Linked DNA regions of Arabidopsis thaliana. The protein of the gene in region 1 interacts with the protein of each later gene in a pairwise test. Each region holds a gene or a part of one and is shown in the gene's direction. Other genes may lie near its edges. The genes, in order: ETT, AT1G11810 and ATS.

Region 1 (11,445 bases):
ATGGATTGATTATCAATGTGGAAGATGAAATTTATAACTCGAATACGTAGTATATTTGATTTTTTCTATTTATATGAAAAACTTAGATAAAACTTTTCATAAGTTTCTGATCTAATTAAAATATGAAAGATAATACGAGTAGATGTTTAAATGAGCAATCCTATACGGAGTTCTTAATTACTTATGTACTTATAGCATTCTTATTTCCTCTCTCTCATTAGTCATTACCATTAAAGTCATCTTTTTAGTATCGACGGTCAAAAGTTCCATAAATTCAGAAATCGTATTCTTCTTACAACAGTTCAGAAAAATGCAATTTTCTGTTCGTTGACCAATACCATTCCATCATACATTCAGCCTATGGAGGAACGAATATAACGGGTCTTATCAATACGTTTTTATATCTAGTTATCTACGTATAACAGGACGTATACGTAAAAGTATAGTATAAATAAAAAACAAATAATTGGATATTATATTTTTGTTTGGTATATCTGCTTATGGTCGCACTAATGAGAGGAATTAATACGCCAACATTTCTTTGGTTTGTAAATTGTAGATAGTCATTAGTCAATTTACTCATAAACTAGGTTTTTGAAACTAAAACTCCCTAGTAGACAGTTTACTTTTGCACTTATAAAAGGACTTCAAAAAAAAGAAAAAATTGTGTTTTTGGCTTGTTGGAAAAGTTAACTTTTGGGGCAAGAAATTAAGAATTATTTATGAGATATATTGGTTTTATATTTATTTTGAAATTCATTGATAACTTCACTAATTTTTTTGAGTGAGCTCATGTATTAGCTTTATTATTATTATAAAATATAACTATCCAATGCACAAGTATTTAAATTACAAAGTAAATTAAAGATCATTATAGTGACTGCTTTCTAATGGGAAATGTTTTGGTATGTTATGAAAATCACAGTTCATTTTTGAAATGTATAGTTTCATAACAATAATTAACTTAAAAATAGTCATGAGAAGAAATCCATTAAGTATGTTTGATTTCAAAAATAATGTAGTTTTAATATAGTGTACTACATTACTAGTGGACTTTTAAAGAAAAATGACATCTCAAGATCACATAATCAAGTCTTGATGATGGATGGGAAACTAATTTGTATGTTCGGGTCATTAGTCCAAAAGAAATTATAAGTCAAAACAATCATAATCTCTTAATTAGAAAAGAAAATATTTTGTTTCATGAAATACATAAAATAAATAAATAAATGCATCAAATTGAAAACGCACCATGTAATTATGAATCAATCTTAGTGCGGTGGGTGGCACTGACACAACTGATTAAAGCTGGATTTAAAGGCCCGAAATAGTAATCAGTCAAAAACACAAAAGTAAAAGTTTCTTCTTAAGAAAATTTCATTTACTCTCTTCGAAAACAAATTGTATCCCAACCCTTACTTTCTGTTGCACCGCGTGTACCAACGCGCACATAACTCCGTATATATTTAATTTATTTTTAAAAAAAAGGGACGTCTGAGATAGTGATGTAAAAGCCTAAGGACAGTTTTAGTTCTATGTTGTCAAGTCATTTGTAATCATGTCTCACCTAGTTTATAAGTATCTTCTTGATACTGTTGAACTAATGGTGTTTGTTATCACCATAATAAGTAGTCTATTATTTTATAGTAATATTGATAAAATTTAAATGTACACAATGCTATAGTTGAAATATGCAATTCGTTTTGATAGAACAATTCGTAACAAACTAAACTAAACAATGTTAACAAAAAAAATAGTGATGAATGAATAACAAACATACATCAACAAAATAAGGAAAAATAGCAAACATCATTTTCTTTTCTTACTATATCAAGTGATAGAATCATTTTTCCCCTAAAGTCAATAAAATTAACGTAGAAACTTTTCTTCAATTGTTTATAAACATTAATAGAAATGTGTTATTCGTTTCAAACTTGTCTTTAAAACTATGTGTCGCGCATGTTCAACTCCAAGTACAACACCGATCACATGTGTGTCATTCATAATCCTTTTTTGTTTCAAATGAAAAAATGAAAAGTAGCTTGTTGATACAACTTGATAGTATTTGATAGTTTTATAAATCACAATCTCAAAAATAAATATTGGGAGGAGGAAAAATTGTGTTGAACCCTCGAATGAATAAAAAAACGAAAGCGAAGCATTGAATGAAAGTGGGGCTAAGTTCTACTGCAAAGAGAGTGAGAGAGAGAGAAAAAAGTAGAAGAAGAAGAAGTAAGTGAACAGTGTCTGAAACGGGTAAAAAGAAGACCAAAGAAGAGCAAAGAGAGTGTGAAGAATACGCGCAATGGGAAGAGCGTGAGGCTCGAGAGACTTTCCAAAAGAAGATAGGAAACAGATGTCGGGGCATTAACCAATTGGGTATTTGGATTTGTAACCCGTTTTGTCCGGGTCCTGCCCCAATCTCTAAACCACTTTTGTTGTTGTTGTTGTTGTTGTTGTTGTTGTTGTGCCTCTCTCTTCTATAGCTGTATCTATCTACATCTACACTGTCTCGCGTGTTCATCAAAATTTAATAAGCAAAAACATATTTCTTTTTTATTTATAGAGAAAAAAAAAATTTGAAAGAAAGAAAGAAAAAAGTCCCCCCTGATCCTCGGGTTCTTTGTAATTTATGACACTCCCAATTTAAGACCTTCTTCTCACTTTTTCTCTATTTGTCCTTTTTTTTGCAGATTCTTTTTATCTTACATTTCTACCCTTGCATGTTTCTTGTATTTACTTGTACTTTCATTGTTCTCTTGTTTGCTACATTGTGCTTGTTGTTGAGATGAGATTCATTCTCACAACAATCGGCAATGAAAGAAAATGTTGGGTACTTTTCATGTTTGCTTTGGTTTGTGTTTAACTCTCTATACATATGTACAACAATGTTTTGTAGGAAAAAGAGAAGATATTCAAATTGTGGTTTGATAGTAAGTATTATTAGTAAAAGAAGTTGATTAGTATTTTTAGATTTAAAACGGTATAAGAATATCACTTAGCAGAGACAATAGATAAGATATTTGCATGTTTGATATATGAAGCTAAAAAGTAAAAGAAAAGAAAAACATTTCAAATCTCTCGTTTACTTTGATGCCGTTGGAAAAATCAACGTACACTGCACTTAAATTCAATATGTTACATAAATAGTCTTATTTATGAAAAGATTAAATTTATTATCAAGAGATTTAATGTACACAAACCATAGTTATATACAATAAAAAACATTTCCGAACTTTATTAGTATGTGGGAAAAAAATAAACTTATGAGTTGCGAAATATCTAACACAACTCAAGGATAAACATTGTAATTTCTTTCATATAGCATCATCACTAGTTCAAGTGTAAATCGATCTAATTTTGCATAGAACTGAAAGGAGTGAACAATGTACTAGGTAAAGAAGAACAATGTTTTTGTTTGCATGTGTATTAAGCTCTAATTTAATTCAAAGTGTGATATACTGATATGATTAGGCTAGTTCCTCATCTGGGTAGACATAATTATAAGAATTTTCGAAACCTCATCTTACCAAAAACATATATAATCTCTACCATTTGTTTCTCTCAATATGCCCTACCATTAATGGACCCTACTTTGTACTTATGCAATAATTCTTCCTGTTTTTACAATAGCCATTAGGTAGGTTTCTTTAGAAATTCGGATGACTTGTGTATCCATCAATTTATTCGCCGTTGATAACAGGTTCATGCACAAATTTCTTAAGATTGTTTCTTCTTGCCTTAACTTTATTTTTTTATCAAAAAAAATTAGATCTAGCTCACAAATCAAATTTGTCACAAGATACGAAGTTATTTGTTTCAAATTTAGTCCTCGTTAGTCATTTAATGTGGTTTTGTTATTTTGAATCGTTTGGTTAGAGGAAAATAAAATGTTATTTCAAATCAAATCCAAATTTGGACACATTGGCAACAAAATGTGTTAACTTTCACTTGATGATGGTATCAAGTCATTCCAACCATTGGTTTAAAAATGATGACAAATTTAGTAAGCAAATGTGTTTCTTCTTCATAAAAAAATACAACAAGAAGTGAGGAAGAAACAATGTGGTCGACTATGATTAATGTGATCTATTGGGAACAATGTGATTAGGCGATGATGAATAGGTCGTATTAAATCGTTTACTAAAATGATAGATCAATAACATTAGCACAAACCAATATATATATATATACTAATGCATGATCTTCTAAAATATTTTTAAAATCCATCTAACTAGTTCCGAATTCGAATAACAGCAATAAACACTGATTATTTATCACAAAGGTGTAATTTTAATCAGAAAAATATACAACCCTTTTCACCATATACTAAACTACTGAAAATCAAAGGCATGAAAGAAAACTATCCCCCAATGTACTTTAGAATATAACGGTAGTCCAAATCTTCGCCACAAAACACAAAACCACATGAACTAGTCATATAATAATGGATAAATGATTTAAACTATTTCACTAATAATGTGCATCAATCCCTAAAAGTATGCCACCAGTATTCTTTTATTTCTCCCACAATAATATCAATAAAAATGATTCAAAGACAAAGAGACAACAGAGACGAAATTATTCTTTTGTAGATCTTATTATATATAAATGATTAACTAAAAACCATATACTTGTAACAATAATTATTATATCAGTACTAAAATCCAATAGTATCAACATTGCAAAGAAACTGTTGTGTAAAAGATAATAATAATATAAAGAGAAAGCAAAGAAATCAATCTATTTCAAAAATCTAATCCCATCTAATGTCTCTCTCTCCACGCACAAAAGGTCTAAAAGCCACACCACACACATCAGTCACCAGACGTAGCAGAGAGCCTCACTGTTGCAGAGAGCACTCAGTACTGTTCTGTTTCTCTGATACCTCTCTCTCTCCTCTCTCTTTTAACATTGTCCAAATTAAAAATCTAAACTTTTTTTCTAGTTTTTTTTTTTTCTTTAATAGAAAAGTTTTTTTTCTCCACGGCTTAAAGACTCACTCATCACTGTGCTACTACTCTCTCTTCTTTTGGCTGAGAGGGTAAAAGTCATGAAGAAACTCCTCTGAGTTTTTTTTCTTTCTTTCTTATAATAAAGCTCTTATCTTTATCTCTGTTTCTCTCTCTTTAATGGGTGGTTTAATCGATCTGAACGTGATGGAGACGGAGGAAGACGAAACGCAAACGCAAACACCGTCTTCAGCTTCTGGGTCTGTCTCTCCTACTTCGTCTTCTTCAGCTTCTGTGTCTGTGGTGTCTTCGAATTCTGCTGGTGGAGGGGTTTGTTTGGAGCTGTGGCATGCTTGTGCTGGACCCCTTATCTCTCTACCAAAAAGAGGAAGCCTTGTGTTGTATTTCCCTCAGGGACATTTGGAACAAGCCCCCGATTTCTCCGCCGCGATTTACGGGCTCCCTCCTCACGTGTTCTGTCGTATTCTCGATGTTAAGCTTCACGTATGTAACTAACTCTCTCTTTCTTTCTATTTTTTGTTTTGTTTTGTTTTCTTCATTTATGTTTTCTCCTCTGCTCTCAAAGCAGAGAGATATGGGTTTTGTTCTGTTTTTCTGATTCTTTGATTTTTTTAATTGTTTGTTTGGTGAATCTGAGTTGGGTTTTCGATACAAGTATGGAGATTTGTGCCTTTGGTTTATTGAATTGTTTGAGACAAACGAATTTATGTTGGGAGAAAAGTTTCCTCTTTTGCTCCATTTGCATTTCTTCTCGTGGCATTTTGATGACGAATACTTGAAATCCCCATAAATTATCTTCAGTTTTTTCTTTGATGATAATGAATTTGATTTCAAAGTTTCGCCTTTTGCTCCATTTTGATGACAATTGATTTCAGAACAATTCAATTCTCTGTAAAGGTTTAAACTTTTTTTGTTGTTGTGAGGATTAATAAACAAAATGTGGGGGATTTTGATTTCGTAGGCAGAGACGACTACAGATGAAGTTTATGCTCAAGTCTCTCTTCTTCCTGAGTCAGAGGTGAGTTTTTCTTTAGGCTCTTGAGTTTTGTAACAAAGAGAGAGAAATTTGCTCGAGCTTAGGGGGTTTGAGTTGATTTGTTACAGGACATTGAGAGGAAGGTGCGTGAAGGAATTATAGATGTTGATGGTGGAGAGGAAGATTATGAAGTGCTTAAGAGGTCTAATACTCCTCACATGTTTTGCAAAACCCTTACTGCTTCTGATACAAGCACCCATGGTGGTTTCTCTGTTCCTCGCCGAGCTGCTGAGGATTGCTTCCCTCCTCTGGTACTAATCCACTCTCTGTAGATTCTGTAATCAGCTTTGTACATTGCACATTGTGTTCTAGAGTTCTCTTATTAGCTCATATTGAGAGATTTTAACTACATAATCATTTTGTTATGTAGGACTATAGCCAGCCCCGGCCTTCTCAGGAGCTTCTTGCTAGGGATCTTCATGGCCTGGAGTGGCGATTTCGCCACATTTATCGAGGTAAGTTTGTTGCCTTATGTTGCAATTTTTCTTGCCTGGATTTAGTAGATGGAAAATTTGAATGGTTTGAGTGACTTTTAGGGCAACCTAGGAGGCATTTGCTCACTACCGGGTGGAGTGCGTTTGTGAACAAGAAGAAGCTTGTCTCTGGTGATGCTGTGCTTTTCCTTAGGTAGTTAAAAATGCTTCTATGTTTTCTCACTACACAACCTCTTTGATTTTCTGTAAGAGGTTTTGTGATATATGGGTTTCTCTGATACAGAGGAGATGATGGCAAACTGCGACTGGGAGTTAGAAGAGCTTCTCAAATCGAAGGCACCGCTGCTCTCTCGGCTCAATATAATCAGAATATGAACCACAACAATTTCTCTGAAGTAGCTCATGCCATATCGACCCATAGCGTTTTCAGCATTTCCTACAACCCCAAGTAAGCCCCAACCACAATGACCTTTTTTCGTTTTCAGCATTTAAAATTTCATTTCAGAATCATAATTAGAATCTCCTGAAGCCTTAAGTTGTGTATTGTTCTAGTTGATTGTTCCTTAGAAGTTTGTTAACTCCAATAAATATCAGGAATTTAGCATTAATACTAGTTCACTGGTAAAACATTTTCAGGGCAAGCTGGTCAAACTTCATAATCCCTGCACCAAAGTTCTTGAAGGTTGTTGACTATCCCTTTTGCATTGGGATGAGATTTAAAGCGAGGGTTGAATCTGAAGATGCATCTGAGAGAAGGTTACTTATAGACTTATAATTCAAGCTTTAAGATAACCTTGCACACCTGTGTTTTATATGCCCAACTTTCTAACATGTTTCACCTGTTTTGTCAGATCCCCTGGGATTATAAGTGGTATCAGCGACTTGGATCCAATCAGGTGGCCTGGTTCAAAATGGAGATGCCTTTTGGTAAGCTATGAATTATGTTCTTAAGTCATTAGTTTGGTCTGAGAGGTCTTCTATAAGATTGTTGCCTTTTCTATATCCGTAAGCTCACTGCTCTGAAACTATGTTTTGACGTCATATTCAGGTAAGGTGGGACGACATTGTGGCAAATGGGCATCAACAGCGTGTCTCGCCATGGGAGATCGAACCATCTGGTTCCATCTCCAATTCAGGCAGCTTCGTAACAACTGGTCCCAAGAGAAGCAGGATTGGCTTTTCCTCAGGAAAGCCTGATATCCCTGTCTCTGGTACACATCTACTTAGCCAAAGACATTGTACCACTCATATAACCATTTATCGCCTGTAATATAACGTTTTCTGCTATTATTGCAGAGGGGATTCGCGCCACAGACTTTGAGGAATCATTGAGATTCCAGAGGGTCTTGCAAGGTCAAGAAATTTTTCCGGGTTTTATCAACACTTGTTCGGATGGTGGAGCCGGTGCCAGGAGAGGCCGCTTCAAAGGAACAGAATTTGGTGACTCTTATGGTTTCCATAAGGTCTTGCAAGGTCAAGAAACAGTTCCCGCCTACTCAATAACCGATCATCGGCAGCAGCACGGGTTGAGCCAGAGGAACATTTGGTGTGGGCCGTTCCAGAACTTTAGTACACGTATCCTCCCCCCATCTGTATCATCATCACCCTCTTCCGTCTTGCTTACCAACTCGAACAGTCCTAACGGACGTCTGGAAGACCATCACGGAGGTTCAGGCAGATGCAGGCTGTTTGGTTTCCCATTAACCGACGAAACCACAGCAGTTGCATCTGCGACGGCTGTCCCCTGCGTTGAAGGGAATTCCATGAAAGGTGCGTCAGCTGTTCAAAGCAATCATCATCATTCGCAAGGAAGGGACATCTATGCAATGAGAGACATGTTGCTAGACATTGCTCTCTAGAAGGGTTCTTTGGTTTCTGTGTTTTATTTGCTTGTGGCTTAAGTAAAGTTCTTATTTTAGTTGATGATGACTTGCTGCTAACTTTTGGAATGTCACAAGTTGTGACTTATGAGAGACTTGTAAACTTGGTTCAAGAATGTTCTGTGTTAGGTTCAATTTAAAAAGTGTTTGCATCAATTCCGGTTATTTGTGTTTGTACCAACCGGTTCAATTCGTAATTCTAATTTAACCGGAAGGAGTCCGATATCGTTATCTCTCTCTGTGCCACTCAAAGAAAACGTAATCCAAGCCAATGGAGGAGACGACATGGGGACAGAGAATACAAGCGGTGACACATATCCTCACAAACCCAACAACGAAACCATCACTTTACTCTCAATTCTTCATCGGAGCCATAATTCCAAACTACGTATCGTGGGATTACCCTCCGGTCTATTCGCCGACGCATCTCCGTCAATGGTGGGTTTCTCAGTTCTTCAAAAGGGTATCGAGATTTGGGCTGCCTGATACATCGTGGAGGTCGAATAGCCCGTATTATCAGCCACCGGCGGCGGTTATGGCTGTCGGAGTTGAGGAAGGGAAATGGGGGAAAGAGGAGAGGAGAGAGTATGCGAGGAAGAGGCTGAGGAGGAAGAGATTGGTGAATGAAGTGAATCCATATATTCCTCTTTTAGTTCCGAATTTGCTTTTGTTTACTCTCTTGTTATGGGATCCTCTTCCTGAGTAAATTTATGGTGGTGAATCTGTTACAGATTATCTGTAAGTTATTGAATTTGTTGTAAACAAGATCTGTGTGTTTTGTAATGAAGAAGACGAAGAGACATAGACTCAATACTCTCTCGTTTGGATTTAGTGTAATAAAAAAACCGGCCGTATCGAACCGGTAATATGTATGGTTTTTTATTTTGTTCGGTTTGGTTTCAAGGGACTTGGTTTGACTTGATCCGGTTTGGTTTCAAGGGTCTTCTATTCTTCCGTTTGGATGTAAGTAGCATCCATCATTCATAGGGTCACATTTATGAAACCCAACAAGTTTTTTGGGATTTGATTTCTTTGTCTTGCTTAAAACTTGAAAATGTTCAGTAGTGATGATTGTCAATTTGTTACAAACAAAAATAATAAAGGACTTTGAATAGTGGTAGTAGTACTAGTATCTTGAGCAGAATAGTATGTTGTAGACTGGTGCTATTTTATTGGAGGAATGGATTAATATTTCTTTTGGATTATATAGGATTAGCAATGGTGAAATCTTAAGGTTTGTAAAATATGGCAGAGAAATGGATGATATTGTAGGTTAGCTAATTAGCAGAACACTCAAATTTTAACGGAAAAATAATAGGTAATAATTAATCAAGTAAAAGAACTAAAATGATCTATGAGGATGATTACCAAGCGGGATTATAAAGACTAAAGAGTGTGGATGCATTTGGTGAAACTAGTGTTTGTGAGTGTTTCCTTTCTCTACTAAATAGAAATCTCACAGTCACAGAAAAAGGTTTAGATTCATATAAATGAAGTTCATACTTATATTTATAAAACTTCTCATGCCATCGAATACCCGATAATGGAAGTATTTAGTGTACATGGTTGTCCATCTTGCAGCTTCTTACGGAAGCCACATGCAAACTTGACGTGCTAATCTTCTATCAAATGTTGTTGGAATATACACGTACCAACGTGTAGTGGTATAATTTATGCAATGCTTAATTGATGGATGTATCAATTCTTGTAGTCGCTTATCGTTCACTATCTCTTAAACCCACCGTCCTAATTAGTTAGTTCCAACTGCAAGTCACGTTTGCTATATCCCTAGTACCTTGACAAATCTAACGAATGTAGATAATCAACCTTTGCTTGTATTGTTTGTGGGTCTATTCATAACCAAATCAAAAGTTTTTAATTAATAATCTTACTTTATATTCTACCTAAAAGATTTGTGGAGCCGTTTATTCGTTTTATTTTTCGGCAGTTGAGATCTATCTTAATATTGTCTGAAAAGAAGAAGTACCAACTCTAGCTCCCATACTCACACAAGTCAATGTTGCTTGAATTTTTTGTAAAGCATTAATTTGTATTAGGTAAAAATATTTAAGATTTACGAACGAGTTATGTTCGCTTATTTATGGATCATTATCACTCGATGTTAGTGAGAACCAGACCAATAGTTTTCTAAATCCGGTATATTAAAAGAACAAAAAAAATTGATACACAAATATTTCCCTTTGGCCAAATATAGGGTAGATAATATTTTCTAGTTTAAGTTAGCGATTGTTTAATAGTAAATCATGACTTGTAGTGTTATATGATTTGGTAGTGGATATGCAACTGCTAGTAGTTTTAGTGAAATGTTATGTGTTCGTAAAATTCATGTAGTTTAACGAAGCCATTGTTAAAAAACACTACTAGTAGACGCTATTTTAAGCCTGACACTTTGGAATTAGAAATCAAACGTAGAGGCATGCATACTTAGGCTCGGAAAGCATATATATGGTATCGAACCTATCGGTGTGACGGTGTCCCTATAGTGGCTACCCCCAAAGTCTGTCGTCTCCCATTATTACTCTGTCGTCTCCCATTATTACTCTGCCATTGCAAATTTTGGAGTTTGCAACTCCATTTTCTCCCGCCTTTTATTTTGTCAACTAATTTTCTTTCTATTGCTTGACAAAAAAAAAAAAAAACGAATTGCCTTTATCATTAAGTCAACTAATTTTCTTCTTCCCTTAGAAACTGTATTTAGTTACTACAATTGCAAAAAAGGGTATGATTATTAAACTTTTGAATGCATGGAAATAAACACTATAAACTTAGTTTAACTGAGAAAACGCATATATACGTTGGGTCAAACCATAATACTATTATCTTTGGATTAGAGCACTACGCATACTCAGACTCCAGATGGTATGCAGAATATTTGCTTATGTCTACTAATTCAGGCAAACATTGTTTTTAATATGTTTTGTCGGTATTATAACTTGTGTTATTAGAGATAAACCCTTTTTGGATGTGAAAATCTCATTAAGCCATTGATATTTTTAGTGAAAATCTCGTAATGCATAAACACTAATATATACTACAACCCCATCCTTACGGGGCATGGTGCTCATGTTCATTGTCAATAAGTGTTTTAAACTCGCAAGATT
Region 2 (9,421 bases), on another chromosome or scaffold:
CGGGTGTTATCCAATGGATCTAGTCAGATAACCGAGCAACTCTTCAATTGATTTCATGTTACCATACCGTGAAGAACATGTGAATATACCCAAACAGAAGAACAGGGTTTGTGGCTTTGGTATACTTCAAGAATCTTCTTTCACCATTTTCTCATTTTAGAACTTTAGCTTCAAACTCTTCATTGTTGAGACAGATACAATTGATGTAGCATTTTGTTAAGAATATGTTCTGTACATTAAACAAGTTTTTTCAGTTAATATCAATGAATAAGGTTGTTTGATGCAAAACCCTCTGATACCAAAATCTCTCTGGTTTTTAACGATCATATTAATATGTGATTAGTTTCAGAATCTTCATTACAAAAGGTGGGGGCATTGTTGAACAATAAGACTGATCTTTCAGTTCGAATCAGGAAATAAGGCCGTTCCCAAACCAAAAAACAAAAAAAACTTAAACCAAGAACTGTTTATCATCAGTTCGAAACAGAGAAACCCTACGCACCAAATTTGGTGTTTCATACAGTTTTTTAACCTAGTCACAAAAGCTTCACTAAGGAAGACTAACTTCGAGCTCTGAATAGTTTGATCTCATTTTGGCGAAAGGGTTACAAGCAGACCGAAATGATCACTAGGCAACACCGGAAGCTCTAACTTCTTAATGTCACCCCTCACTTTCTTCTCTTTTACATATGATAAACCAGGAATGGCCTCTTTCCCAACCATCTCGATTCCACCAAGCTTGTAATCATCCAGACGACACAAAATCCGGTCTAACCGTTTCTGCAATGCCCGGTTACCGGACAACATTGGGTTTGCTTTTGTGTCATATGTAAAACCCAAATCACCTGGTTTCAAAACCTCCCAAACATCCACCCATTTGTCTGGCAAAGGAAACTTCCCATCTAGCTTGTCGCACCAGTTCATGTCTCCCCCGAATATCACATTGGCATTAGGTCTGAGAATCTCAATTGCCTCCTTGGCTTGTTCAACGCGTTCTCGACTGAACATTTGGTCCCATTTTGGAGGACCTGGACAGGGACTCTCAAGATGGCTAGTTGCAAAAACAAGTGGCTTTCTCCCTGGAACTTCAACTTCTGCGATAGATAGTTCTCTTCCCATTATCGAGTTCCCAAAGCTTTTGCTGCTGAAAGATTTCACTCCCAACTTGCTCAACTGCAAATTACACATAAGGGTCAGTTACAAGAACCACAGGGAATTATTCAGATACAGACGGCAAGAGCCTAAGCCAAGCAAGCACAATCTTTACCAGCATGCAGTAGTAGCCTCTCGAAACTGCCACATCAACTGAGACAGAACAAGAATACGCTTTCCACCAATTCGACTTGCGGAAAATATCATATATCTCAGGAGTGACTTCCTACAAACCACACAAAAACCACTTGTCAAGAAAGCTGAGCTATTTCTAAATGTTGCAGATAGAAATCATTCTATAGCAAAATGTAAAAGTGACCTGAAAACATATGAGATGAGGAGAATGAAGCTGAATAAGATGACCAATCGCTCTCATCCTTAGATTCAACTCAAGGTCTTCACGAAACCAAACATTGTAGCTCAAGATCTTCAAGCAAGTTAAAGGTGTTCCTGAATCAGAAGCTACCCCTACAAAAACCAAACAATGACAAAAAAAGTAAAGACTTCTGCATTGAGGAACAATGGAAATCAAACTCACACAATTTAGCAGTAATCAAAAACCAATAACAAGCTTTAGATGAAACAGGAATCATACAGTAATAAGTCTCGTCTTTCAAACTGATATCTAAGGTATGAGCCACAATGAGTATACCAAAATTCACAAAGACCTAAAACCCTAGGGAGTAGAAAAAAACCGACCTTTCGTTTCAATCTCTTTGTTCTTCTTCATGACACCTTGCGATTCAGAGCAAACAACAGAAGCACCATCGACCTCGACGACGTCATCATCCATAGCTTTACGCTTGATACACCGCCGCAGAGGAAAGAAAACAGACCCGACGGAGGAATCAGCGTCGTTACTCTCGAGACCCGAATCAGTCAAATCCTGAAATCCCAAGAGAGAAGACGTTGGCGATCGTGTTCCACAGACGTCACAGATTGAGTTCTTGTACGTGTTCAAAAAAGTACAGGCCTTGCAAGCCCATTTAGCTTCATCGTTCGCGGAAATTGAGAGAGAAGGTGGAGGAGGAGACAAAGAAGGGAGAGATACAGGAGCCAAGCAGATCATGCAATTGAGTTTCTGAGACGCAGAATTGAGGAAAGTACATTTGTTGCAGGACCAAGACGACGACATTGCTCGACTTGTGACAATTCTCAGAAATCGGATTGTTGTTGACATTTACCCTAATTAGTTTTTATCGATTTTGATTTTTTGACGCTTCGGTTTTCATTTAACGGCTACGTGTTATTATTATACGACATCGTTTTGGACAAAGAAGATGGTTTACAATTTCAATGTTTAAATTTGAAAGGTGAACCGTAATCAAACCGAAACTAACCGAAGTATACCCATATACCAGAAGACAGAATTAGCTGTTGGGGAATACAACAAAAACAAAAACATACTATTTAGGAGACAAATTTTATACAAAATTTTATTGTCAAGAGACTAAAATCTATACTAGCATTTTCGAAGTACATCTCTTGGCAATAAAATTTAGATGACTAGTTTTAGTCTATTGTCTTTCTTTTTCTAAGATCGATCCTAAATGTATTGACATGAACATGATCATGTCTATTGCAAAAACCTGTCATTCTATCTTCAAACTTTAAGAAGAAGAGGGGGAAAAACTCCTACGTTTAAAATGAGTAAGTCTATTTTTCAACTCGGAAGAACAAAATGTTGGATTTGCAGTGATGTAGGTATCTTCAGGACAAGGAATCGCTAAGCCACCCATTGGATGATCAAACCTTGACTCGCTCTCGAAATTACTAATGAAAGCTTGAAACCAAGGTTGGTTCAAGTATGAGATTGGAACCTAATATATCTTCTTCTGGCTCTCTTTGACGTACACCGCAAGCAATCTTTGAGACTGATATTTTTGTTCTTAGATCTTTTTCTTGTTTGAAGTTTTAATTTCTTTTGTTAGCTAATTTTGAAGATGTATATAGTAGGAAAAGTTCAAGTTTTTGGATTGGTCCTTTTTTGTTTGCTTTATAAGGAGTTGTTAGTTCTGTGAATTATTTACAGATCAATGAATGAGTTAAGATCTCTAATACTTATGGTCTACAGTCAGACTAACACAAAGACCAGCAAGTTCTGTTCTTCATTAAGTTGTAATTAGTTCTTAATGTTGTAAATACCAGAACAATAAGTATCTATCATTTGGTCAAGTTGTTCTTTGATCACAAATGACGGTTCTTAGCAAAGAATATACAAGTGTCGTCTCTCACTTCATCATTTAAGGAGACGAACAAATAATGACGACTTTGTCCGATCTTTCAGTAGATTTGGTGGGAGAGATATTCTCTAGAGTTCCATTGATATCTCTGAGTGAAGTGCAATGTACTTGTACAACGTGGAACACTTTATCCTGGAACGTTTTGTCGGAAAATTATGTTTTTGGTAATTAAAGCAGATACAAGTAAGCAATTTCTAGGTTTCGTAGTAATGTATTCTAAGGTTTGTTCCCTGAGACTTGATCTCCAAGGAATCCACAACAACGATTTCGTTGATCCATCTTTAAAGGAAATATATATAGTTGATCAATACGATATATCTAATATATTTCACTGTGACGGCTTGATTGTTATGCGTCATACACAAAAGGAGAAGGAGGCTCATGGTGTGGAACCCTTATTAAGGGGAATTCAGGTGGATCCAACCAAGAAGCAAATACCATAAGTTCCACAGATTAGACATGTATGCTTTCGGTTACGACAAACAACAACAACAACAACAACAACAACGGTGTGTCTTTGAAGGGAAATACTTATTATTATGCTCCACAAAAAGAAGTCAGATAGCCATGCAGTTTCAAATCGTATTGTTTTTTTACTCTGTTTTGATTTTACATCAGAAAGGTTTGGACCGCGTCTTCCTCTTCCGTTTCACTCTAGTGATGAAGAGACTGTGACTCTATATATCTTGTATCAGAGAAGAGCAGCTCGCTATGTTATATCAACCCTACGACTTATGTTTGGACTTGGTCATGGAGATAACGACTAAAATTGAGTCCAATGCAGTATCATGCATGGACCAAGTTCTTCACAATGGAAAGGACATCGCTCTCTGATTTTTCGAGTAAATTTCGTGTTGAGAGCTTCTATATCGACGAGGAGAAGAAAGTTGTTGTGGTTTCCAAATCTCGTAAGTATAGACCGAACGAAAACTGTGGATACGAAACAGTTAACATCATTGGACAAATCTGTTGTGAAAATCGGAACAGATCACATCTCGAAACCTAAAATGTTTAGATATTATTTTGATCCACTTGTGTTCTCTTCTTACGTTCCAAGTTTAGTGCATATACGAAGAATCTATCAACCGGGCAAAAGTAACGAGAGAGATTATTAAATTAGTTCCACTGATTACAATAATTTTTTTTTTTCTTCTTGCATCATCTCCTTTTGTTTCGTGTAACGTCCTTTTGAACAAGATTACTGTTAGTCATTTTAACCAATCACCTTTGTAGATTAGGGATACAAAGATGGAATAAAATCCACCAAAAATAATTAAAATCTTTTCCAGATTTCCTTCTGTATTAAGCATTTATTGCCAATTTAGAAAAGATTTCTTACCCTTAAATCGTAAACTAACACATTTGTCTAGTGGCTACACTGAACCCAAAAACGAAACAACCCCTAACAGTCCTTGGTTTTTCTGAAGTTCAGAGAAATGACGACGACGATGTCAACCCTTCCAGTGGTTTTGGTAGACGAGATTCTCGCTAGGGTTCCCATTACATCTCTTAGATCACTCCGATCAACGTGCAAGAAATGGGAGGCTTCATCGAAAACCAATCTTGTAGGTGGTAAAGCAACCGCAAGGAAAAGCAGTCACGTAGGGTTTATCCTCATTGGTGACAAGATCTGTTCAATGAAGCTGGACCTAAATGGCGGCGATGACTTTGTTGACACATCAGTGAATCAAGTAAGTGCATTTGATGGATTCGCGATATCTCAACTCTTTCACTGCGACGGCTTATTGTTTTGCATCTCCAATAACCACTACAGCAACTACACGCTCATGGTATGTAACATGTACTTGGGGGAAACTAGGTTGATTCAAAACCGTAGCTTGTTCGAGAGTTATCAGAACTTTTGCTCGTATGCTTTCGGATATGATAGCAGCAAAAACCGTAACCACAAAATCTTGAGAAATAATTCTGTTTCTGGTGGTTATGAAATCTACAGTTTAAAATCCGATTCATGGAAAGATCTTAATGTTGATCTCGAGAAATCTATACATCTTTGGCGACTAGGAAGCGTGTCTTTGAAGGGAAATGCTTACTTTCGGGTTATAAAGGTAATTGAAGAAGGAGTTTGGGAATATAATTTACTCTGTTTTGACTTCACAAGAGAGAGTTTTGGAAAGCTTCTGTCTCTGCCGTTTGAGTCTTTGGGTGATGAAGGAGAAGGCATTATGGTTATATCTTGTGTTAGAGATGATCATCTTGCTGTGTTATATCAACGTGACACTTTAGGTATTTGGATTTCGACTGAGATCGAGCCCAACAAGGTGTCGTGGAGAGAGTTTTTGCAAGTGGACTTGGCGACGCTGGATGGTTTTCCGGATGTATTTATAGCTGGGAGATTCATCGTTGACGAGGAGAAGCAAGTCGTTGTAGTTTTCGGTCAAGAGACAGAGTTGGATCTCAACCACGGAAATGCTTTCATCTTTGGAAGAGATGGATACTTCACCTCTTTTACCGTTGGAGATGCTCCGCCCGAAGACTTCACTTCTTATGTTCCAAGCTTAGTCTCATTGCAAATCGACAAGACGGGTAAAAGGAAAGCAAGAGATGACTAGATTGTTTCTTATGTTTCTTATCTCTCTTTTGTTTCAGTCATTTACTTTCATCTCCTTCTGAACAATTCTGCTTTTTCATGTTTATTTGGGATATTTGCTGCTGTGATAACATCTTGATGCGTTTTCTGTTTTTACTTCATTTCTTTTAATTTTATTGCCACAACAACAAATTACAAAATTATAACAAAATAAAATGTTTCAAGACCTAAAATTGGTAACTCGCCAAAAATAAAAATCACGAAAAGGGTTACAATATGGAAAATGTTACAAGAATCATAATAGTGACACAGAAGCCTCTTGAGAGACTCCTTGAAGTAGCTTCACCCGCGGCAACTTCAGTCGAATTCACCACTGTCTGTGTCCTATTTCCGACCTTCTTGCTGCACAAAATGAGGTAAGAGTACCAATTAAAAGAATGAAGACTTTATCTCGTCTAAACATATAGATAAAAGAGTTTCCAGAAGGGAGTTCAATGCAAGAACTTGCAATACCTTCCCGGGAAAATGCAGCTTCCATGACCTGAAACATACGCATCTCCTCATTTAATAGATTTTATAACGAAATAAATGGAAAAGGATAAAGAACTATGTAATGTATCCAGTTAACTCACAATTTCGAACTTTTAAGGAACTCGAGATCATTTACACAACAAGTATATGATCTTGATAAATATTTTCTTGTTAAAGCTCCTATAGACTCTCCCAACTTAGGATCTAAAAACTAACAGACTCAGATGGTGTTTGTTGATTTTCATAAGTCTTTTACTCTAGATCTTCAAACTATAAACCATAACAAGAGAAAAAGAAGAAGAAAAAAAGAGCTTACTTGGGTCAGTAGTAGTGATCATAGCCACACCTTTGAAGTCACATGAACCAGAAGCTCTTCCTTCCTTCTGGTAATAACTATTAAAAGCAAACGAAGCATGTCCCTTCACATTATTCGGCTGGTAACAACTCTCCCCAGGTTGAATCTCACTACAGTTAGATCTCCCAGGTCCACAAGCCCAATCCAATGCAGCTTGAAGCGTCTTCGCATCCACACCATCCATAGCAATGCAGTAAGTCTGGTTTGTTGTATCATTCGCTAAGAACGTTCCACTTCCAGATACATGAAGCAAATAAACCGGTGTAGAGTTCCCATAGAATAACCCCCAACTAGCTTCACTAACCGGAGGAGCCCTCAAATCCTCATTAAACAACTCATAAATGTAGACACTTGAAGTCATCTCAGGGTGCAAAGGAGTACCAGTTCTATCAAACACATGCTTGATCAAATTCGAGTTGTACGTATCAGCATTGTCGATAGTAGCATAAGGCTCTTTCGAGTCACCTTTCGAAGGCCAGCCACTCTCAGTCACAAGCACAGCCACATCAGACACATTTAAGTTTTTCATCGAGACATAAGCAGCATCAACCATAGCATCAAGAACATTCGTGTAATGCAACAAAGTGTTCGGATCCACCATTTCTTTAGACGGTGTCAATGGCTCAAACAAACAGTTATCGAGCGGAACCACACCTTTGTTCTGCATATAAACATAGTAAGGATACAGATTCATCATCAAAGGAGAACCTGTTTTCGACAAGAACTGAAGCAGAGGAACCATAATCGAATGCCAAGTCTGGTTAAAGTAAGCTTGAGAAGGCGGGAAAGTATCGAGCATGATGGAAGCTGCGTGAGGCGTAGAGACCTTGATTTGAGTGTGGAGATTAGAAGCAACAAGAGCATTGTATAAAGACTCAATAGCAGGTAAAAGCAAAGGAGCTGAAGAAGGCACAGTTGTTAAAACCTCATCTCCAACAGAAATGGCTGTGATTAATGTTTCAGGGTAATAAGCAACAACATTTCTACCAATCCATGACGCAGCAGTACTGTTGGATGATCCAATAGCGAGAAGCTGATTGTTTGGTACACTGATTATGACTCGTACCTTGGTTTTAGCTAATGCTTTGAGCAATTCTGGATCAGCATCGTATAATCGGACGTGATTTACTTTCTGAGCTTGGAGAAATTTGACTAATTCCGTCGGCGAGAGAAGATTAGAGACATCTGTGCCGATGTTGAAACCAACGAAGGGATCTTTGTCTTGTTCCTGAACCTTAATGTTGTGAGATAAAGACGACGAATTCGCTGCACATAGAAAGCTAGTTAAAAATCGAAACTTGGCAATGATTTCTAACTAAGGTTTAAGAATTCACTAAATGGGTTTTGTCTAGATTTGGATTCGAAACAAAAGAAGTAATATTTAGCCAAGTGTTAACTCAAAAGGAGACCAAAAAAACAATTTTTTATTTGAAATATGTAAAATTCGTCAATTTGGGGGAATTTGAACTGAAAAGTGGAATTGTTTGGTGAACTTACCAGAAATCAAAAGAAGAGTGAAGAAGAAGAAGAGAACAGGAACGGTGGAAACCATGCTAGTGAAAGCCATTGAAGAGGAGCTTGAGCTTATTGTGCAACTCTTCCCCTTCAGATTCAGACTCAGCGACTGATTCTTGCATTATCTTCCTCCTCTTCCGATGGATTTATGGCTGTATGGTTGAGATAATCTAAAGAGAAACGGAGAAGAAGAAGAGAGATTAGACATTTTTAGGGGTTTTAGGCTGTGAAAGAAAGATTTATGTCTCTGTGCTTTCACGTGAACCGACTCTGCTCGCTCCTCCCCACACAAACTGTTTTTTTTTCAGACCATATGTGATATTTTACCGTAATGCCCTTGAATTCCGATAAAAGCACCAGCTAGGCATCACTATGTAATCTTTAATAGATTTGGTCCATTTGGAATATTTTCTTTCATCCATAAATTTTGTAAAAAACCAAATTAAATAAAGTTGAATTGCTTGTACACAAAAAGACTCTGTCTAAAATAATAGTTCTTCAAACAATTAAGATAAAATAAAATAAAAAATATTATTCTTTATTATTATTTTGGTTTTGTATATTGGGTTGGAAATGGGATGTTGGTGTTGACCACATGTAATAAAAGTGGACAATTGAAAGCATATAACAATGGCCTTTAGTTGAATTATACTATTATATTATGTAGGTGTTTTCTCTATGTATTTATTTTCCGGTCATTGAAATATATCTATCAAACACATTGAATTACAAGTTGACAAACAGAGAATTACAATATAACCCATGCTTCCGCTGAACAGCAAGAAGACAATGGCCCATTTTATTTATTTGTTGATAACACTTTTTCTCATCTCAAACAATACAAGAAAAAAAATAAAAATAGATGTCTCAAGAAAACGTAACAAGTAATATTGTTAGCCTGAATCTTTTTGCACCGACTAAACTGTTTAAAGGGAACTTATATACAAAGAAATTATGTTAGACAAAATGAATACATTTTCTCTTTTTGTATCACTTTTACATAGTCTCTTTTGTAAAGTTGTAGACTTCTTTCTAGTCGAGCAAGAGAAGAAAGAGAGGACAAAAAAAAAAAAATAC
Region 3 (10,218 bases), on another chromosome or scaffold:
TTCTTTTGTTTTCCATTCATAGATAATATTATTAGTCTATCTATGAACTTTTCGCGTTATCGTAGACATTGAACATAAATTAGTCCTCTAGCGATAAAGGCAGTTTTAGCTTTCATGTGTCTCTTAAGGAGTTTACAATTTTTTTAATAAAATTTTTATACTTAAATATCAATGTGGAAAACGATGATTGAACATAATTTGTGGAGTCTGTAAGTTCTATTTTTGTAGGTGGGAGATTGGAAGCTGAAATCTATATTACTTCGTAGAGTATGTTTAATGTGAATTCCGCTGTAATAAAAATATTGTACATCTAACGAAACCACTAGACCATGTAGAATGATAGTTAAGAATGTAAAATGTTATTCAATAATAAGTGAAGTTCCGTGGGGTTTTGCAAAAGAGATGTATGAGCTCGATGACATACGTGGGAATGATACAAATCTTTCTAAAAAATGGAATATTTGCATTCTCCAACTCATGTTTAATTTAAGATAAAATGCGAGAAGCAACAAAATAAAATATCAAAAAGGACATTTGACTATATTACACACCACATGGGTACACTGAGTAGTCATAATACACATTTAAAATATTAATGCATGGTTCTATGATATAATTTATTAAATGGATTCAGTTTGTTGCAAATTTTCAATGCTAGAAAAAAAGACTTATTGTAGTTATGATACACCTTTATTAATGCATCTTACTCTAACCCGTCGAAATCTCGATCAAACATAATTAATACACAATTAATCTATGAAATATACGACAGCTCATGGTTATCATCTTAAACCTATTAGACAGATAGAAAGTGAAAAAATTTCTTGAGTTAAAAATTTATCTTGTTTCATTCACTACTATTTATTTATTAGAATGCCTCCTTTTATATGTTATTGATTCAAATCATATTAGAACATGATACATATATACTCATAGTCAACATTAACCAGTGTCACATGGCTACCAATCTTAGCCTTTTGAATGTTGAATTTCGTTTATTATTATCATTTAACTATACAATTAGTATAATAAGTACAATATATTCTTGGAGATTATTTAGTTTGTCAATTTGCAAAAGAAAACAAATTAAATAGGAAAAAAATCATCTATGTAATAAGTACATATATTCTTGTTTTCAATAGCAAAGCAAGGAGCAGCAAGAGCCTTGAGAGTTCCAGAAATTTTACCTAAAAAGGAGCCTTGAGAGTGTCAACAAAGAAGAGAGAAGAAACAAACAAAAGGAAGCAGATAGAAATTAATTAATAAAAAAATGAAACAAGAGAAATTTAATGGTGTCTCCATCAATCAATAACAAAGCAAATTATCTTTCCAAATATTCCATCGTATATTACCACTTCGGCTTTTTCGATGCCAAGCCATTAATCTGGCGCCTGGAGACATGTAATATGATGTCTATGTACACATCGAATTTTATTGCTGTATTTTTATCTGAGAAATTTCAAATGTGGTGAATATTACTATTATTAATCGTACACACAAAAAAAAAAAAAACGGGTGGTTATTATTTTTTGAAGTTTTTTTAATTGTACAAAAAAAAAATATTCTTATGTTTTATATAAAAAAATATTGGTTAAATGTTAATTTAAGAGAATATTTTGCTTTTAATCAGATGCTTATTGATATAAACAAAATAATAAATATCAATGGGAATGTTAGGTTTTTATCATTTGTCTGTTTTTTTTTTTAACAAAGTATACCATTTTTTTCTTTTTAACAAAACACAATAAGATGCTTATGTAAACAAGAATATTGTCGGAGAAAAAGCAAAATATTATCGACCGTACGATTCTTCTTTTAATGGCCAAGACCCAAGAGACATGTCATGAAAATTAATTAAAATAATACGATTGAGAGTAATTAGTTGTCTTTATTTCTCCTCAATTCTTGAAAGATAAACAAATTTTCCTTTTGGAGGGACTTTGTGGTTCAAACAAGAATCTCCATGACAAAGCCGCGGTTGCTTTCCCAGTCAACTTTTCAAATCTGAGGCTTTGAAGGTTTTGCAGTAAAATATTAAATGCAAACTCTGTTGTATTCTCTATCAAGCCCTAAGAGGCAGAGACCTTTTAAAAGCCTATTTTCTTGCATTGGAAATTTAAAATAATTTATTTTATATATTAGAAAATAGTAAACAAGCAAATCATAGGGTACTCATTATCTAATTATCACACCCAGTCTTTCTCTCTGTGCTTGTTTTCACCTTTTTAACCACTAATCAGAATCTACGTTGTCATAAAAGTCTTCCAACTTTTTTACTCTTTTGTTGTTTCTTAAATTATTATTATTCTTGGGTAAAAAATCATTATTTATTAATTATTTTGGCCAAGTTACTGCATTTAACTTTTTGGGCACATCACCACAATACTCTCACAATTCCAACTATATAGAAATATAATCACTCTCTCTTTTTCATTTTTCTTTTGAATGTTTTCTTAGTATTAGATGAAAGTTGAGAATTCTAATCCTCACTCATCGAGAGTTGAGAATCAAATGAGTTAAATTGCATCTTTTCAGGATTGCTAGAAGGAAAAAAAAAAAAAAAAAAAGAGCATTCAAGAAAGAAAAAATTTAAGAAAACGGTAAGAAGACACACGAGTTTTACAAGTAATATGGCATTCGATGTGAGCAATTCCTATATCTCGACAAGATTGATAGTTGTTAAATTTCTTTCAACATATAATGTTATATTATATTCAAACATAAAGTAAGAAAAACTCAACGCTTTTGACTACAAGATTTAGTATATATAAATATGGGAAATTTGCATAAATAACTAACAAAAAAAACTATAATTCACTAACTAACCATCCTAACTATGTAATTATAATATTCTCTGTATTATATGTAATATTACTCAATTTGTCCTTGTTGCCTCAATACCTTCAGTAGCAACCACCACCGCTGGCCACCACCGCCGGTCACCACCGCCGGCCACCACTGCCTGCCACCACCGCCGGCCATCACCGCCAACTCCGACCACCATCTATTCCGGTCACCACCAACACCGGTCACCGTCACTGTCGGCCACCATCAAATCCGGCCACCACCGACTCCGGCCACCACTAACTTCGGCCACCACCACCGCCACCACCACTGTCGGCCATCACCACGCCGGCCACCACCACCACCGCCGGTCACCACCACCACCGCCACTGCCGGCCACCACCACCGCCGGCCACCACCACCACCGGCCACCACTACCACCGGCCACCACCACCACCGCCGGCCACTACCACCGCGGGCCACCACCATAGCAACCACCACACCGATCACCAACACTTCCGACCACCATCAACTCCATCCACCACCGCCGGCCACCACCGGCCACAACCATCACCACCACTACCATCTCCAATCAAAAAGACTAATTTAGTAATTTTACTACCCTCTAGTGTTAATTTCTACATTTTGTATATTATAGTGTTAGTTTCTTAAATAAATTATCAAAAACAGTTAGTTTTGCAATTCACCCTATAAATATTTCCTCACTTCTAGTTTTTTTTTTTTTTTGGTTATTACATTGGGACTAACATTTGGTAGTACTAGGAAAAGAGTGCAATAAGCGTTTTCAGAATAATAAGGTATTGTAGAGAATTGTTTTGTTGGAAAAAAAAACCATTTAATAATAAGAAAAAGACAATAGAATTTTGTTTAATACATTAATGAGATAATGACAACGATGGAGAAATATAATATTTTACCTCTTTTTTTTCTCCCTCAATAAAAGTGTTGTTTCTGCAGAGCTCTCTCTCTCTCTCTCGTTCTCTTTCCACACATTCTTTGATCTCCACTATTTAAGTAGACAAGAATCATAAAGAAAATAGTGAGATGATGATGTTAGAGTCAAGAAACAGTATGAGAGCTTCAAACTCAGTCCCAGATCTGTCTCTTCAGATCAGTCTTCCTAACTATCACGCCGGAAAACCTCTTCACGGCGGTGACCGGAGCTCCACAAGCAGTGATTCTGGAAGCAGCCTCAGTGACCTGAGCCATGAGAACAACTTCTTCAACAAACCTCTCTTGAGCTTAGGATTTGACCATCATCATCAAAGGCGCTCAAACATGTTCCAACCTCAAATCTACGGTCGAGATTTCAAGAGAAGCTCATCATCAATGGTTGGTCTTAAACGAAGCATTCGTGCTCCAAGAATGAGATGGACTTCTACTCTTCATGCTCACTTCGTCCATGCTGTTCAACTTCTTGGCGGCCATGAAAGTATGTATTGTCCTCTTACATTTTCCTATACTAATCAAAAAAAATTTTAAAAGAAAGACATAACCAATCGAGATTGGTATGTTAGTGTAACGTTTTGAAACCAAAGTATTAAGATTTGTCATGTATTGGTTTGTCTCAGGAGCAACGCCTAAATCAGTGTTGGAGCTCATGAATGTGAAGGATCTAACCCTAGCTCATGTCAAGAGTCACTTGCAGGTTCATTATTTTTTCTTCATTTTTTATATATAAATTAATGGAATCTCATACGAATTCAAACACATAAATGTAGATAGATATATAGGTATATGTAAATATGTATGAAATGTATATAATTGGGCCACTATCTAACGCATGATTGCATAGTTGAAATGAACTTAGCCAAACATTTCTTTTATTTTTTTTCGTCCTTTAATTTGTTTTTGATTTTTCAAGAATGTGTGATTGTTAATGCAGATGTATAGAACAGTGAAATGCACTGATAAAGGATCACCAGGTATGCATTCAAACTAGTTCACTGATTTTTACATTCTTATTAGATATAAATGTAAATAAAATTTCATTATTTATTAATTTTTAAAAGAAAATTTGTATTTTTGTTCTTGGGAATAAACAGGAGAAGGAAAGGTAGAGAAAGAGGCAGAGCAGAGGATAGAGGACAATAATAATAATGAAGAAGCTGATGAAGGAACTGACACAAATTCGCCAAACTCATCATCTGTGCAAAAGACCCAAAGGTTACTTTTTATTTATATATTTATTTTTGTAAAATTTTGCATTTAATCTCTTTTTGCCTTAGTTCTGTGTGAAATTTGATGAATATGACCCTCTCCTAGGGCTTATGTGAATGTACTTTTCCATCTCTCATTAAATTCGTTAAGGGTTGTTTTTGGTTTTAGTCTAATTAGAAATATAAGATATTTGAATTTTCTTTGTTAATTTGTATATGTACATTAATTGATGATAATATAGAAGTAGGTCCAAATACAACAATTTTGTCCAGCAATAGGAGTTATAAACAGATTTCTAAAATGTGTTTTATTATTAAAATTTGAACAGAGCTTCATGGTCATCGACAAAGGAAGTATCTAGGAGCATATCTACACAAGCATATTCTCACTTGGGAACAACTCATCACACTAAGGTACATTATTTATCCCTTATCTCTCATTAATTGCATGCTGACAATGGTAACAATGGTACACTTTTACTTATGTACTTATAATGTGTAATATTTTGAAAATAGGACAATGAAGAGAAAGAGGATACCAACATTCATCTCAATTTGGATTTCACATTGGGGCGGCCTAGTTGGGGGATGGAATATGCGGAACCCTCCAGTGATTTAACCCTTCTCAAGTGCTAATTGCCTTAAGCTACAACAAATAAGTCAGCTTAGGTTACCAGTTTTAACATAATTTTAACTTGTTTTGATCATATGAGCTTCGGAAGAATCATATTATCATCATATATGAACTTCTTTCCAAGAATGTTCTATGAGTTTTTTGATATGTATAATCAAGAGAATCGTTTGAAGTAGTAAGTATTGTTGTAGTGCGATGAGAAGGGAGTACAAGTTCAAGTAGAGATAACTTGTTTTTGTTTCAGTCTTCAAAAAAACATCTCAATCTTCCATTATCACACTTTAATATAAATTGGAAAAGATTCTCTGGTAACTAAAAAGTTTCTGCTGCCTCTTTCCTCTTTTGGTATGCTCCACTGCTCCCACTCTGGTTATATATGGAGAGTTTTTTTGTAACGTGGTCAATTCTTTTTTTTTTGCTTGTTACATAAAAGTAAAATCTATAGTTTTAGTAAATTATTTGCTTATATTGAATAATGGGTCAACACATATATTGCGAGATGTGTGGTAGAATATTATATCAATTTTTTTTTCTCAAAGAGAATATTATATCATGCTCATGGACTGCATATTTAAATTTTAATATATAAAAGAAGATATGATCTTTGGTCTTGATCGGTAGCTTTGTTACGTAAGGCCAATAGCGACCTTGACTTCCTTCAGAACGTCGGGTTTTGTTCCTCATGGACGCTTGTGCTCATCAAAGACCTTGGAGTAATAATCATAATGATTAAAATAATTAAAAGGTGAAATAATTATCTAGTGGCGAACATAAACTCATTTTGTTTTGTAACATCTTGAAAATGGAGTTTTGAATTCTCTAGTTTTCCTTAAAAATGTCCGATGAAACGAAATATAAAAGATATATTTATAGGTTACAACAAACAAAATGTATATTTTTTGTCAAAGCAAAATGTATATCATTATACATTATAGCAAACACAAAATAACCCTAACCAGACAAATTAGACATGTGAAATTAAACACACCATGCAACCTACGTCACCTAATTAAAATGATGTAATGAGTGACATCAATTCAATTTTAATGAATTTATTTCATCTAGATCGGAAAATGAACAGGTTGAGTGAACACTGATATTCAATCTTTATAGTATTAGAGCAACTCCAACCATGGAACACCAAATTTAGTGTTACAATTTTTTCTTATTATGTTACTCAATTTAGAATTTTCTTTATTTTTAATAGTTTGACAAACATTATATATTTTTATAACTGATATATTTTAATTTAATTAATAGAAACTTACAATCTATAAATTTAAAATGAAAGAAAATACATTACATTGTACTAATTCTCTTTAATCTTATTTAATTTGATATTTATTTAGATGTTTTGTACAAATTATAATGTCATATTAACTATAATTAAAAGTTCATATTATTAAAAGTGAAGACATACAATTTATTGACGGTATATTGGTTTTTAGTTGTTATATAACAATTAATTATTTTACCTAAAACAAAATATAAATAAATTAATATATTTTTTCAAGAGTACATCTAGATGAGCCGGCACCAAATAAATTATTTTAAAAGCGTATAAACCAAGTATCAAATTATTTATAGAAAGATTAGATGAAGGAAATTTTAAGAGTCTTTACTGTTAGATTGGAATGGCTAAGAGCAGGGTCGGTCCAAGTCTTTTTGTTGCGTAAAGCAAAAATGTGTTTGGCCCATTCGTAATGAGGTATTGAAAAAAAAAACAAATTCTGACAAAAGTTAGACTCGAACTAGACACATAAAAGAAGGTTATTCAACACGTTGACCACTATACCACCAACAATTTTACAATTTGATGCCCCAAATTTTGTTACTAAAATGTGATGCCTAAAGCTCTAACTTCACCATCTTTAGCTCTGGGCCGGGCCTGGCTAAGAGCATCTCCAACACGATACCAAAACAAAATAATATGGTGTGACATTGTTCATAAAACACCCAAGAGAATATTTAGGGTCACTTTTACCGTTCTATTGGAGCAATATTAACACCATATTTGTTGTTTTGGTATTATTAACAAGATATCAAATCTTTCTTGATAAGCGTATCTACAAGTAAGAAAAAAAAATATGATCAACAGATATCACAACACTCTCTTCCAAAATTAGCGCCTTAGTTAGAATTTGGCAATATTCTTGGTTGTTTGTACATGTGTCTGAACCAATTGATAATCAGTCTCAATATGTTTGATCCTCTTGCGAAAATTAGGGTTCGCTACGTGCAGTGTGCATGCAGCTTGGCTATCAAATGTAGAGCAATTGTCTTATCTTGTACCACGCCAAGATATACAAAGAGTAGCTTCACCCACTTATGCTTTTGTTTGACCGGTATACTAACACGCTTACATCCAAGCAAATCCGCTTCTGCAATTATATATTAATCCAAAATAAGTTTCTGCTATAGATACCAAATAGATTTCTCCATTTCATCTAGACATTGCCAAACACTTGCAGATCATCAATGGTCCTCACTCTAATGTACACAACATCACAAGCGACCAATCGAAAAGAGTGACCGGGACAACTTTTATCTAGCGATTGCTGTTGAGGAACAAGTCCTCCAACTCCAAAGTGCACCTCTAGAGTCTAAGAAGCGTAACAAAAACATAAGAGCTTGAAGAATGAATTAGAGACACATATAGAGAGCTAAGAAGAAGAAGACAATCAAATAGATTTTCCCTTTTTTTTTCTCTTGGAAGGCCTTCGGCCTAAAAATCCCATTTTTCCTATAATATTATATTCAAATACATATTGCATTTTCACTCGAAAGACAGACAAAGATACTCTAATTCATCTAACAGGTGGGCTAAGGCAAGACCCCTAACTTACGTCTCCTCATAAACCCTAGAAAAATTACAGATTGGAAAATAATACTCTGCCTCACTATCTACCTTGTACACACAAATCTTTCTTTCGCCCAGATGAATTGTTCCTAGTTAACTTGCTACTAATCTACTCCACAAACTGCTAAACCATGGCGATCTGATTTCGCCAGACCCCGTACATTCAGCATCACCTTCTTCTGCCGTGCTGAAAAGGGTTTGATCTGAGCAGTCTAAAGAAGCCCCACACGCCATATTGTAGGACTGACATGCTGAATGGCATACTCGTAGTCTGTCGTCTCCATCGATATCACACTTCTGGATCGATATCTGGTACAGAGAGATCATAAAGAACAAATGGCAGTATCAGAAAATGCTAGTCTCTTGCCTATAATCATGGAGAAACTTAGACAACTCTACAAATCCCAAGAGATTGTTACTCACCCAACAGGCTAGTCTTTTAGCTGCTTCATCACAATAACTGTTACCGAAAATGTTAAATAACTTCCGAGCCCCGCCCGGAAACAGCCTATTGTAGTTGGGCATTACCACAACCTCCTCAAGCTGCTGAAGAATGCTAGGCTCTCTTGGAGCACAATGTTGCCCTGACATGTCTTTCTCCAATACATCTTTGCACACCAATAAACTTGTAACTAGTTTAGAGCTGTTCTGACATGTGTAGCCTGCATAATCAGAGCAACGGAACTCGCAAACCCCATTATCACACACTCCTCCATGTAGGCTGCATTGTTCATCGCAAATAGCTGTATAGTTGAAAAGAAACTTCTTATCAGATATAATATTGATAAACGTATTCTTGACACAATCTATAGAAATGTGGATAGTTACCAGTGGAACAGTCGATTCCAGTAAATCCATTTTCACATATGCATACACCCTGAGTTGTGCATTTTCCATGTCCATTGCAATTATTAGGACATGAACCTGCATGGTGAAAAGCATAACTTCTAAGTTCAGATCTTAGGGAAAGATAGAGACTTGACAAGCAACAATTTAGTGTGAATGATACAGGATACTTACGGTTTCTACAGTCATGACCGTGATAACCAAGGAGACAACGACACTTCCCATCAACACAATCTCCATTAAAGTTACAAGAATTAGGACACTGACCAAGTACAGAAACTACGGATGTACTGCAGAGTTCATGGTAAGCCGGACAAATTAATTCACCTACAAAACCAAAACATTCATGGTTCAAAAGATTTGGTAGCAATATGTTATTATTCTTTTAGGAAGATAAAGAGCAATTTTTACCATTAAAACCGGGAAATCGAATTGGTCCACCAGCTTGAGGGCAAAATTTCCATACTCCCTCCACAGCAACCTAATAGAATGGCATTGTGGAGGACATGAAAAACATTACTAGTGAAGCCATGAGAAAGCATAAAAGCATGATCTCCTCATCTCCATGTATCAAGATAAAAACAAGTTGAAATAGGACTGATGGCACTATGACTTGTGTGGTTTCTGAAAACTGCCTTACATCTATAAAAGTTTGTACCCAAATTTTAAAACTAAAATAAAATGAAATCTTAGGACAGAGAAGAAGACGTAGAAGAATACCTCCAACAAATTATTTCTACATCTATGTTGATAACAACCATTCCCCTGTGTCATGGAACCCCGAACAAACCCAGTACGCACTAAAGATGAGGCCATACACCTATATATAAATCAAACTCTTTCATGAGCAATATTCCATTTGGATATTTACAAACATTCAGTGATAAAGTTAAGTTAAATAACCTGGATTCACT

Evidence for each region.
Region 2: the proteins of ETT (region 1) and AT1G11810 interact in binary tests that used the Arabidopsis thaliana proteins (3 or more experiments, as listed by UniProt).
Region 3: the proteins of ETT (region 1) and ATS interact in a protein complementation assay, tested with the Arabidopsis thaliana proteins (one study listed by BioGRID).

What each region holds. Positions count from the first base shown.
Region 1 is NC_003071.7:14,322,301-14,333,745, reverse strand, and holds ETT (Transcriptional factor B3 family protein / auxin-responsive factor AUX/IAA-like protein), read left to right. Parts: upstream 1-4,767; 5' UTR 4,768-5,132; coding exon 5,133-5,456; intron 5,457-5,489; exon of another isoform or gene 5,490-5,934; coding exon 5,935-5,991; intron 5,992-6,077; coding exon 6,078-6,260; intron 6,261-6,379; coding exon 6,380-6,464; intron 6,465-6,545; coding exon 6,546-6,636; intron 6,637-6,726; coding exon 6,727-6,891; intron 6,892-7,079; coding exon 7,080-7,199; intron 7,200-7,294; coding exon 7,295-7,370; intron 7,371-7,491; coding exon 7,492-7,654; intron 7,655-7,739; coding exon 7,740-8,302; 3' UTR 8,303-8,540; downstream 8,541-11,445. Other genes in the region: AT2G33855 (uncharacterized protein), read left to right, coding at 8,595-9,029. UniProt on the Arabidopsis thaliana protein: Auxin response factors (ARFs) are transcriptional factors that bind specifically to the DNA sequence 5'-TGTCTC-3' found in the auxin-responsive promoter elements (AuxREs). Could act as transcriptional activator or repressor.
Region 2 is NC_003070.9:3,984,932-3,994,352, forward strand, and holds AT1G11810 (F-box associated ubiquitination effector family protein), read left to right. Parts: upstream 1-4,831; coding exon 4,832-5,965; 3' UTR 5,966-6,135; downstream 6,136-9,421. Other genes in the region: ADT1 (arogenate dehydratase 1), read left to right, coding at 1-31; AT1G11800 (endonuclease/exonuclease/phosphatase family protein), read right to left, coding at 589-1,173, 1,268-1,378, 1,472-1,620, 1,852-2,332; AT1G11820 (O-Glycosyl hydrolases family 17 protein), read right to left, coding at 6,213-6,345, 6,457-6,484, 6,791-8,095, 8,327-8,396.
Region 3 is NC_003076.8:17,069,379-17,079,596, reverse strand, and holds ATS (Homeodomain-like superfamily protein), read left to right. Parts: upstream 1-3,692; 5' UTR 3,693-3,849; coding exon 3,850-4,237; intron 4,238-4,376; coding exon 4,377-4,453; intron 4,454-4,690; coding exon 4,691-4,730; intron 4,731-4,850; coding exon 4,851-4,971; coding exon of another isoform or gene 4,972-5,017; exon of another isoform or gene 5,018-5,293; coding exon 5,294-5,378; intron 5,379-5,480; coding exon 5,481-5,600; 3' UTR 5,601-5,924; downstream 5,925-10,218. Other genes in the region: AT5G42635 (glycine-rich protein), read right to left, coding at 2,872-3,038, 3,129-3,218, 3,271-3,370; AT5G42620 (metalloendopeptidase / zinc ion binding protein), read right to left, coding at 7,831-7,979, 8,557-8,767, 8,882-9,201, 9,287-9,382, 9,479-9,631, 9,716-9,785, 10,025-10,124, 10,208-10,218. UniProt on the Arabidopsis thaliana protein: Probable transcription factor that regulates carpel integuments formation. Required for the specification of polarity in the ovule inner integument. Modulates the content of flavonols and proanthocyanidin in seeds.